Macaca fascicularis: one gene and its partners. The protein of the gene in region 1 purifies or fractionates together with the protein of each later gene. This does not show direct contact. Links are inferred from orthologs where the notes say so. Each region holds a gene or a part of one and is shown on either strand. Other genes may lie near its edges.

Region 1 (3,464 bases):
CCAACAGATCACAAGTTACTTTGTATGTGTTTTTTTTTTCTGTTTTTAAATTTTTTTTCCCCTCACAAGTTAGACTTAAACTGTATGACTTCTTTACCCAGAAGCGAGCTGACTTCGGTTCTCATTTTGAAGTCACCAAGTGGTACCAATTCTAGTGAGGAATTTCTTATGACAACATTGAACACTCAGTAAGGGATGTGCTATTTTGTTAACCACTCAAGTTTCAGATGGTGATTTGAGGGTGGAATACAGGCAGAAACGACTGTAAGCTGTCAGCAGGCCATGCTTGGCCCTCTGGGGAGCACTGGAGTGTGGCCTCTGCTCATCGTGTTAGGGTTTCAAGCACCTGTATTATGTGGAAAGGTCACAAGGCCAGGGACCCAGCACCTAGACGTGCAAATGGGGAGAAGCAGCAGAGAAGAAACGCTGGCTTGCTTTTGGCTTGGGCCAAATAATCTGGCACATTGACCAATCCCTGCCTGTCTTCTGGAAGAAGGGGCATTTCAAAAGCACTTTAAAGAACTTCAGAAACCTTAGGAAATTCAGTGCAGAGGCTGTGACAGAGGGAAGGTGGAGAGATTACCATGTTATAAAGAACTTTGGGATGTTTTTCAAAATTAACTTGACCATTCTTTTGAAACCAGAGTCCTTAACAAGCATTGAGATATATTTCTCCATGAAGGCCTAACAGTGAAAATTGGAGATTTTGGTTTGGCAACAGTAAAGTCACGCTGGAGTGGTTCTCAGCAGGTTGAACAACCTACTGGCTCTGTCCTGTGGATGGTGAGAATCTGGGCTCCCACCAGCAGTCTCTGGTACAGGGCAAAGGGAATGCCCTGGGGATTTATGTGCAAACTTTTAAAGCGTTTCTGTACATTTCCCCGAAATCCACATGACCCCTAGTGACAGCCAGCCTCAGGGCAATTGTAGATTTTCTTGAGGAAGCTGTTGATCAGAACCACTGTGAAGCTTAGTGTGGAGAGGAGATAATAAGCTGGGTGATAGAAGTGCTGGGTGTTGGTCCTTTAAAGACAAGGATTCCTGAGCTGTTTTACCCAGTGCCTGAATTGGAGTCCTTTAGGGGAAAAACTATGTGGGGACTGAAGAATGGACTCATTCATAACTAATGAAAGGGACAGCCTGGGTCCTAGATGTCTGTAAGGTCTGTCATATGGTGATAAATGCACTTTTGTCATATGGTGATAAATGTAGGCCCCAGAGGTGATCCGAATGCAGGATAACAACCCATTCAGTTTCCAGTCAGATGTCTACTCCTATGGCATCGTATTGTATGAGCTGATGACGGGGGAACTTCCTTACTCTCACATCAACAACCGAGATCAGGTGAGTCTGTGCTGGTGCTAAAGGTCCTAACGCGTGGGAGCCCTTGGGCCTCTCCCAGCCTAGGCAGCTAGAGGGTTAGGACTTGATATTTTCTGTAGTTCATTTACCCCCCATTCGCTCAGCTGTTTTCTTTCCCTTAGATCATCTTCATGGTGGGCCGAGGGTATGCCTCCCCAGATCTTAGTAAGCTATATAAGAACTGCCCCAAAGCAATGAAGAGGCTGGTAGCTGACTGTGTGAAGAAAGTAAAGGAAGAGAGGCCTCTTTTTCCCCAGGTAAGGCTCAGGGCTGCTAGAATGGTGATTAAAGCATGGATTGGTTCTTAAAGATGGCAATGTAAGGTGGGAGTATTTTGTTTTGTTTTATAGGGAGGGGACCCAGATCCTCTACAAGATGGTTGGGGGCAGGGTACAGCCTGTGTCTTTGAGACACAGCTAATGAGAGCATTCTGGGGCTTTGTTTCAGATCCTGTCTTCCATTGAGCTGCTCCAACACTCTCTACCGAAGATCAACCGGAGCGCTTCCGAGCCATCCTTGCATCGGGCAGCCCACACTGAGGATATCAATGCTTGCACGCTGACCACATCCCCGAGGCTGCCTGTCTTCTAGTTGACTTTGCACCTGCCCTCAGGCTGCCAGGGGAGGAAGAGAAGCCAGCAGGCACCACTTTTCTGCTCCCTTTCTCCAGAGGCAGAACACATGTTTTCAGAGAAGCTGCTGCTAAGGACCTTCTAGACTGCTCACAGGGCCTTAACTTCATGTTGCCTTCTTTTCTATTCCTTTGGGCCCTGGGAGAAGGAAGCCATTTGCAGTGCTGGTGCGTCCTGCTCCCTCCCCGCATCCCCCATGCTCAAGGCCCAGCCTTCTCTAGATGCGCAAGTGGATGTTGATGGTAGTACAAAAAGCAGGGGCCCAGCCGTTGGCTACATGAGTATTTTGAGGAAGTAAGGTAGCAGGCAGTCCAGCCCTGATGTGGAGACACATGGGATTTTGGAAATCGGCTTCTGGAGGAATGCATGTCACAGGTGAGACTTTCTTCAGAGAGTGGTGCAGCGCCAGACGTTTTGCACATAAGGCACCAAACAGCCCAGGACTGCCGAGACTCTGGCCGCCCGAAGGAGCCTGCTTTGGTACTATGGAACTTTTCTTAGGGGACACATCCTCCTTTCACAGCTTCTAAGGTGTCCAGTGCATTGGGATGGTTTTCCAGGCAAGGCACTCAGCCAGTCCCCATCTCGGCCCTCAGGGAGCAGTCTTCCATCATGCTGAATTTTGTCTTCCAGGAGCTGCCCCTATGGGGCGGGGCCGCAGGGCCAGCCTTGTTTCTCTAACAGCCTTGTTTCTCTAGTCACATCATGTGTATACAAGGAAGCCAGGAATACAGGTTTTCTTGATGATTTGGGTTTTAATTTTGTTTTTATTGCACCTGACAAAATACAGTTATCTGATGGTCCCTCAATTTTATGTTATTTTAATAAAATAAATTAAATTTAGGTGTAATGGCTGTTACCTCCTTTTAAAGTAATTCTGAGCTCACAATTTGAACGTCCCATTTGTTCACCCTCTTCAGGAGCAGAATTCAAGAACAGGAAATGTGCCCAGAGCCTAGGCTGGGAATGAATTTGTAATTTAACCTTTGTACTCTTTGTAACCCTCTACTGAAGAAGAGTTAAGTATAAAAATTAAGCAGAAAGTATTCTAAACTCAGCTAATAGGTTAAGTAATGCGTTCTATAAAATATTTGGTAGCTACAGCTTAAAAAAAAAAAAACACAGATAAATTCCAGCTTGGAATAAGCCAGTGCTAGTTCACAAGGTTGTGCTCACCCTTCAATTAAAATGACTACAAGACTTGCCATCAGCTCTCTTCAGGACCACTGCTGGGTCAGAATCAGAAACCTTGGGTGCCATGACATTTTTACAAAATTTCAAATCAAAGCCAGGCGTTGCAGATAATAGATGGCTTGAGTACGAACCACACATTATGTAAGTGCACGTATATTTTGAGTTCTCAATACAATTACCCTGATGGGCATGAACCCACAGGTGAGAGCAGAGGTTTGGTTCCCCTGGAGGGCCCTGGCTGGAGGCCCCAGCACCAACCAGACGGGAGGGCCAGAC
Region 2 (3,637 bases), on another chromosome or scaffold:
CTGAGCTTGCAGGCTTTTTCCTATCTCTCCCAGCCATGGCTTGGGGTAGAGAGCATGCTGGAAGAAATCTCTGAGTAAGTGGCTGCTATAATAAACTGACAGCTGCAGCTGCTCTCTGTGGCTCACATTAAATGCTGTGGCCTAGTATACGCATACCGAAAGTCAAGCAAAAATTGACCCACACTTATCATAAACTCTTTAAAGGAGTGTAAAAGACGAGCCCCTTCTGTGGAGATGGCTCTCACCGTCACTGATCTGCCTCATGTCCTGGCTATTTTGGATACTGTGGATCATTTCCAGAAGGATTTCTTTCTCTTGCTCAACAGCAGTTGCTGCTTCTCTCAAAGCTTCAACCCTATAGAAATTGGGAAAACAAAACGGTTATTGTATGCAGGATGTTCTTCCTATTAATTTTATCTCTCATTCAACCCAAATCAAGTTTAAAGATCACCAAACTTTTCAAAACTTCTTCATTTCTGCTTTAAAATTCTTTCATTTTTCTATTTTTTATCCACTTGCCTTTCTCCTATTTTCCTTCCAGCTCATGAGGCAATTCTATTTAGTGTTTATCTAATTAATAGTATTTGTTTTTACAAGATCTGTATTATTTGTATATTTTGAATTTATATCTCATTCTGTTTTTATTTTTTCACTTAGCATCCAGGATCCTATGTGTACTTTTTTTTTTTTTTTTGGAGACAGTCTTGCTTTGTCCCCCAGGCTGGAGCACAGTGGCACGATCTCACTGCAACTTCTACCTCCCGCGTTCAACTGATTCTCATGCCTCAGCCTCCGGGCCCAGCTAATTTTTGTAATTTTAGTAGAGACGGGGTTTCGCCATGTTGGCCAGGCTGGTCTCAAACTGCTGGCCTCAAGTGATCTGCCCACCGCAGCCTCCCAAAGTGCTGGAATTACAGGTGTGAGCCATCACACCCAGCCCCCTATGTGTACTTTTAATCAGTTGGTGCTACATATTTTATAATACTCCATGTGTATACCTACCTGCTTTTCCTTCTCCACTCTCCCAGAGATGGACACTCAGGTTGTCTACCAACTTCTTATTACTACAAATAACACTTCTATGAATACATCTCCCCTTTGGATCTTGGTGAGGATTTCCTTAGGACATATACCAGGACAGAATTGCTGAGATAAAGGGTATGTGTACTCCGCTTTTGACTTAGTACTATGATTATTCTGCAGAATACCTGTACCTGTCCATTCTCCACAGCAAAGCACAGGAGTCCCCATATCCCTACCAACACTCCGCATTTGCCAACTTTCTATTTGCTGCCAGTGTAGTAGAAGTATGTCAGGTTAACCTGCGTTTTCCTAATAATTTCAGACATCTCTTTGTATCCTTGTTAGCCTATTCATAGACTTTTCCTATTTTGTTTTTCTATTTTTAAACAGGAGTTACTGTCCCCTTGCTGATTTGTATACTCAAGAAATTCTTGTTGGTTACAGACATTGCAGCCATCTCTCATCCTCTCTTATATGAACCACGTCTGGGATGTCTGGCACTAAAGAGAGACTCTTATTTTGATGTGATCCAATTCATCTTTTTTTTTTTTTTTTTTTTGCCTTATAGCTTATGCTTTTGAAGTTTTGACCTAAGGTCTTCCCCCTACCCCTTGGTCATATTTTCCTATATTTTCTCTTATTAACTTTATAGTTCTACCTTCCTTATGTCTTTAATCCACCTAGAATCAACCCTTGTATGTAGTTAGTTAAGAATGTTGTTTTTTTTCAAATAGCCATTTTCCCCAACATTATTTACCAAACAATCCATCTTTCCCCTAGCGAATGCGTATTAAGTTTCTCTCTAAAATCTCTATCCCATGCATTAGTGTATTTAACTGTTCTTATACTAGTGCCCAGTTTTGTTTTGTTTGTTTATAGCACTAGCCTTGTACTATACTTTAATATTTGATAGAACATGCCCCTCAATCTTCTTTAAAGATAACTTAGCTATTTATGGACTTTTACTTCTCCATATAAATTCTAGGGTACGTTTATTGTGTTTCTCAAAAAATGAGAGAAATTCGACATCTTTATAACGTCATTCTGTTTAAGGGCATGATATATGTCTCTTCATTTATTCAGATCTTCTATAGAGTTCTCATGTATTCTTCATAGTAGTCTTTGTAGATATTGTTGCTCTTGTGAATTTGTATTTTCTAGTTGATTTTTACTGGTTTGAGAAGTGTTGTCTTTGTAGGTTTATCTTGTCACTGGCGACCTTGATTTACATGTATTCATTTTAGTGTTCAGTCTGTTGATTCTGTTGGTTCTTCTAGGTAAATGATCATATCCATATCATCCATAGTTTTTATTTCCTCCTTCCCAATCCTATTACTTTTCTATTACTTTTTTTTTTTTAAGAAAAGGTCCTTCAGTACTGTATTAAACAGTGGCAATGATGGGGGTATCTTTGTCTTTTCCCAAATTTAAGGGAAAGTCTCTGTGGCTTTTTTGTGTAAAACCCTCATCAAACTATAGAAGCGCTACTTTCCCCACTTCACTCAACTGCACACACATGCACTCACACTATACATACACATAATTGTGCCCAGTCACTAAAAAACTAAGCTGGGGAATCATGAGAGCAAAATAAAAATATACATATTGTATATTTAACATGTTGTATACTTCCAGGGTACCTTATTATTATGAATTACAGTAAGTTGCCAACTTTTGCAAAATGAAATAGTGACAGACCTATTCCCAGTATTTGGATGGTCTTAGAAGTTCATTAGGATTAGAGATCTAATCCTAACTGCTGTCTTAAGTGTGCACAGAAAGAACAACTTCACCAATGTTTTAGCATGTTCAATTCCATAAAAGGATCTTCCCCCTACCCCAAGCACACACGTGCCTTTTCCCCTTCGGTTACCCACCTGTTATACCCCAAAATAGTACTGACAGGCTGTAACATCACAGGATATCTTTATTCTTCAAGATATTAAATATATGTCAAAGTCTGTGTTTATAAGAGCCACTAAAAGCAAAGAACTGGGAAGAATCTCATGTGACAAATTTGGCTAGAGAACACAATCAAAATACAATATTCTACAAAGTAACAGTAATGCAAGTATCAGGCCCTATTCCAGGACCATTCACTATTTACTTAAACATTTTACATTAGCAATCTCTCAGAAAGATAAACTAGGGCCCAGAACATAGGAAAGAGACTGAGTTGGCACTAAATATTTATGCTAAAAGCACAAACCATGACTCCAATATTTAGACAAATGACACAGGTGAATCATTTGATTGGTAAATGAGAAGATGCTGAAAGAAGAGATTAATTTTTCAACACTTCTTCGGCTGGTATTCAATTGTAAGATGATAAGAGAGAACAACACTATTCTGAAAAGGAAGGTTTCATTTACGAGTTACAGCAATAAGTTCATGTTCTTAACAAAATAGATAAAAAAAGACATTCTAGAAAAAAATAATAAGCCTATCATTCATATGAAAAAATATTTTATCATTAAATGACACCAAATAATTAGATGGAACTGCTAAATTTTGTGTTTTTGGGACCCCCCCCAACCCCACAAGGCTTTTTAAAATACATAATAGAAATTACCAGGGCATTATCCCTGTGAAAACCAGATTTTATCATTTATAG
Region 3 (3,637 bases), on another chromosome or scaffold:
CAAAAAAAAAAAAAAAAAAAAAAAAATCCCAAGTTCTTGCTTCAACAACTGGCATGTCAAGCAACCCCAGGCCCCCTCTACTCCAGGGCCACACTGGCTGGAGCCAAGCAGCAGTTGGCCTGTTGAGAGGGGTGATCTCTGGTCCACCAGAGCCCCACTGGGCCCATAACACAGTCTCTCCACAGCAGCATGGCAGCTACCTGTCTTTAAAGCCAAGTGCCATCCTCTCTTCCCTTCTCCACACATGCGGAATCTGTGGTCAGAGGGAGATGTATTTTTTACAGATCACACAACACACAGGAAGACACAGCGAGGGTTTTTACATTCCCAGACCAGGGTGAAAAATATGCTCTGATCCAACAAAGCCCCCACTCTGTGCTTGGCAGCCGATCAGCCACTGTGGGATGGTGACCCGAAAGTCCCGGACCTCATCCCGGTGCCCCCATCTGGAGACTCTCGGGACACAGCAGGTGTGGCATCTGGGATGTACTTTATTGGACAGTGGTGGCCCAAGTCTTGGTCTGGAAGCACTGGGGCCCTGGACTCCGGCACTGAGTTTGAGGAGGCCCAGAGTTCAGGGCTGTCTGGAGCGAGGCCACAAGCGGCTGGTGAGGGAGCCGAGGAAGAGGTTCTGCTTGTTGGACTTGGAGAGCTCAGCCAGGCGCTGCTGCTCCTCCTGGGGTCGGGAGACAGATGGAGGAGCGGGTCAGCCCAGGGAGGACAGAGCCTCCTCCCAGACGCCCAGCTCCCCAGGCCTCAGCCCAGGGACCACCTTTCCTCCTGACTTCTGCCAAGTCCAGACCCCTTTCCCCAAACCCTGGGGCCCCCAGCCCAGACACAAGGGACCCTAGACCTCAGCTCCCCAGCCCAGACACTGGGAAGAGCCAGCTCTGAGCCGCAGGAGCCTAGGCTTCAATGTTTGGGGGATGCCAGACTCCAATACTAGGCACTCGAGATATTTAGGCCTGAACTGCAGTAGCTTCTCAGGCCCCAAACTCTCATAATCCCCTTCCCCAGATCCCAGGGACCCCTCCCCTGAACCTGAGATCCTATCTCAGACCCTGTTATCCCAAGGTGAATGCTGGTGAGATCCCAAGTCCGAACCCCAGAGCCCTCCTCATCAGACTGCATCATCCTGCCCCTGGCCCCCTGCACCCCATGACCCCTGTCTCAATGTGGTGGGCAGGGGGAGTTCCCTGGGGGGTCCCCAGGCCCAAATCTCTAGGGACTTCTTCTCTGGGCACTCAGGGACTCCCAACTCTAGGAACCTAACCTAGAATCTGGTGAACTTCAGCCTAGATCCCTGGGAATCTTGCCCAGATGCAATCCGTACTCTCAGTCCCACTTCCAAATTACCAGGGTCCCACCAAGACCATCACAACTCTCCCCACAGCCTTGGGCCATGTGCCCAGGGATCCTCTTTCCAGACCTGATCTAAAACCCACAGTCCACCTCCACAAGGTGACCCCAGACCTACTCAAGACCATCAAGGGCAACCCCTCTTCCAGTCCAGTCTCAAAGCCTTGCCTGTCTCCTGTTCTCAGAGCAGGCTGCAGAATCAATGCATCCCCTCATTCTGGCAGTCCTACAGGACAGGCTGTGTTATGTCCCCCTGGTTACAGAGACTGAGGTGGAGAGGAGGTATCTGCTCACGGTCACACAGCCAAGCCAGGAGTGTGGAGTTGGACTGCTCTGGGCTCCTCATTCAGGAGCCTCAGAGCCGATCCTCCACTCTGGGCATCTGAGCACCAACCTGCTCTAGCCGGCTTTGCCGCTGCTTGAAAGCTGCCAGCGGATCATCCTCCAGGGCGTAGTGCTCCAGCACAGTTCGCACATCCTCCACACCGTTCAGTGCAATGGCTGTGGGCACAACAGGGGGTGGTCAGCCAGGCTTCTGAAGGCCAGAGGCAGGCAGGGCCCACGAGGGGAAGGTCCCACACTGGGGCAGGGGGGTGGTCAGTGCTACCTGGAATGCTTCTAAACACTCTGAAAGGGTTCCCTTGAACATCCCCAGGTATCCCCTGAACATTCCATGAACATCCTAAGAAGCTCCTAAAGACTCCAAGGTGCTCAGGTACCTCCTGCACCTCAGTCGCCCAGCCACGAATAATGCATTTATCCTTCCTCTTCAGAATCAGGGGCTCTAGGGTCAGAGGCCAAGGGATCAGGGGTCGGCCTTACTCTTAAGGAAGGCAGACAGGTCCAATAAGACCCGGTCATCAGAGTTTCCGTCCCAGGGCCGCAGGGCGACGCCGTTATAGGGCTGTAGGCGGAAGGCTTCCTTCTTGCAGTCCACAACTACTACTCGAGCTGGATCCCGATTCAGACATGAAATGTCCTGGAAGTGAGTGACAGATCAGGTCAACATCTGTGCCCAACTCTCCCCCCATCAAGAAGACCCAAAACACACAAAACATACATACACAGCATCACACATACTGGGATCACAATGCCAGGGCCTCTCAAAGACCAGCTTTGGATGATGGCATCGACCCCCACAGAGGACCAGGCATGGCGGCTCACGCCTGTAATCCCAGCACGTTGGGAGGCCAAGGCAGGAGGATCACTTAGCCCAGGAGTTCTAGACCAGCCTGGGCCACACAGCAAGATCTCATCTCTACAAAAAATTTAAAAATTAGGTGGGCATGGGCCAGGCGCAGTGGCTCATGCCTGTAATCCCAGCACTTTGGGAGGCCAAGACGGACGGATCACCTGAGGTCAGGAGTTCAAGACCAGCCTGGCCAAAATGGTGAAACCCCATATCTACTAGATACAAAAAATGGCGGGGTGTGGTGGCTCACGCCTATAATCCCAGAATTTTGGGAGCCCAAGGTGGGCGGACTGCCTGAGCTCAGGAGTTCAAAATCAGCTTGGGCAACATGGCGAAACTCTGTCTCTACTGAAAATACAAAAAATTAGCCAGGCGTGGTGGTGTGCACCTGTAGTCCCAGCTGCTCGGGAGGCTGAGGAAGGAGAATCACTTGAACCTGGGAGGGAGAGGTTGCAGTGAGCCAAGATCACGCCACTGAACTCCAGCCTGGGCAACAGAGCGAGACTCCATCTCACACACACACATGCACACACACAAAAATTAGCCAAGCGTGGTGGTGTGCGCCTATAGGCCCAGCTACTCGGGAGGCTGAGGTGGGAAGACCACTTGAGCCCAGAAGGTTGAGACTGCAGTGAGCCGTGTTCACACCATTGCACTCCAGTCTGGGTGACGCAGCAAAACCCTGTCTCAGAAACAAAAAACAAAACAACCCCCAGGATGTTGGGGAGCTAATCACACAGACTCCTAGACCCAGGGCCTAGCACACAGAGAGGCCATTAGGAAGTTCCCTGGAGAGGGAGGCGGCCACTCTCATGTTAAACCCCTGCCCAGGTGACTGTGGTATGTTGCAGGTTTAAGAACCTCTCACTCAAGTAAACAGGTGCAGACAGATCTGCAGCCATACCCAGGGAACCACAAAGACAGGCTCCCAGACACAGACCCTTCAAGACCCTCGATCACAGTCCATGTATTTCTGAATTCCCAAGAACAACACAGACCCCCCTCCCCAGGACACAGACAGAAACAGAAACCCAACAGACACACAGACACTTGGAGCCAGATCCACAGAGGCCCATTCACAGATCC

The links. Proteins that work in one complex are often made in the same cells at the same time.
Region 2: the proteins of RAF1 (region 1) and BAG2 purify together in Homo sapiens (co-immunoprecipitation; 3 studies listed by BioGRID and IntAct, with this or other methods). This does not show direct contact. The link is inferred for Macaca fascicularis from reciprocal best matches to the Homo sapiens genes RAF1 and BAG2.
Region 3: the proteins of RAF1 (region 1) and TIMM50 purify together in Homo sapiens (affinity purification with mass spectrometry; 4 studies listed by BioGRID and IntAct, with this or other methods). This does not show direct contact. The link is inferred for Macaca fascicularis from reciprocal best matches to the Homo sapiens genes RAF1 and TIMM50.

Annotation. Positions count from the first base shown.
Region 1 is NC_088376.1:150,866,234-150,869,697, reverse strand, and holds the end of RAF1 (RAF proto-oncogene serine/threonine-protein kinase), read left to right. Parts: intron 1-664; coding exon 665-783; intron 784-1,212; coding exon 1,213-1,344; intron 1,345-1,484; coding exon 1,485-1,619; intron 1,620-1,809; coding exon 1,810-1,953; 3' UTR 1,954-2,844; downstream 2,845-3,464. UniProt on the Homo sapiens protein: Serine/threonine-protein kinase that acts as a regulatory link between the membrane-associated Ras GTPases and the MAPK/ERK cascade, and this critical regulatory link functions as a switch determining cell fate decisions including proliferation, differentiation, apoptosis, survival and oncogenic transformation.
Region 2 is NC_088378.1:114,539,063-114,542,699, forward strand, and holds part of BAG2 (BAG family molecular chaperone regulator 2), read right to left. Parts: intron 356-3,637; coding exon 246-355; intron 1-245. UniProt on the Homo sapiens protein: Co-chaperone for HSP70 and HSC70 chaperone proteins. Acts as a nucleotide-exchange factor (NEF) promoting the release of ADP from the HSP70 and HSC70 proteins thereby triggering client/substrate protein release.
Region 3 is NC_088393.1:46,569,145-46,572,781, reverse strand, and holds the end of TIMM50 (mitochondrial import inner membrane translocase subunit TIM50), read right to left. Parts: intron 2,339-3,637; coding exon 2,182-2,338; intron 1,861-2,181; coding exon 1,754-1,860; intron 677-1,753; coding exon 575-676; 3' UTR 304-574; downstream 1-303. UniProt on the Homo sapiens protein: Essential component of the TIM23 complex, a complex that mediates the translocation of transit peptide-containing proteins across the mitochondrial inner membrane. Has some phosphatase activity in vitro; however such activity may not be relevant in vivo.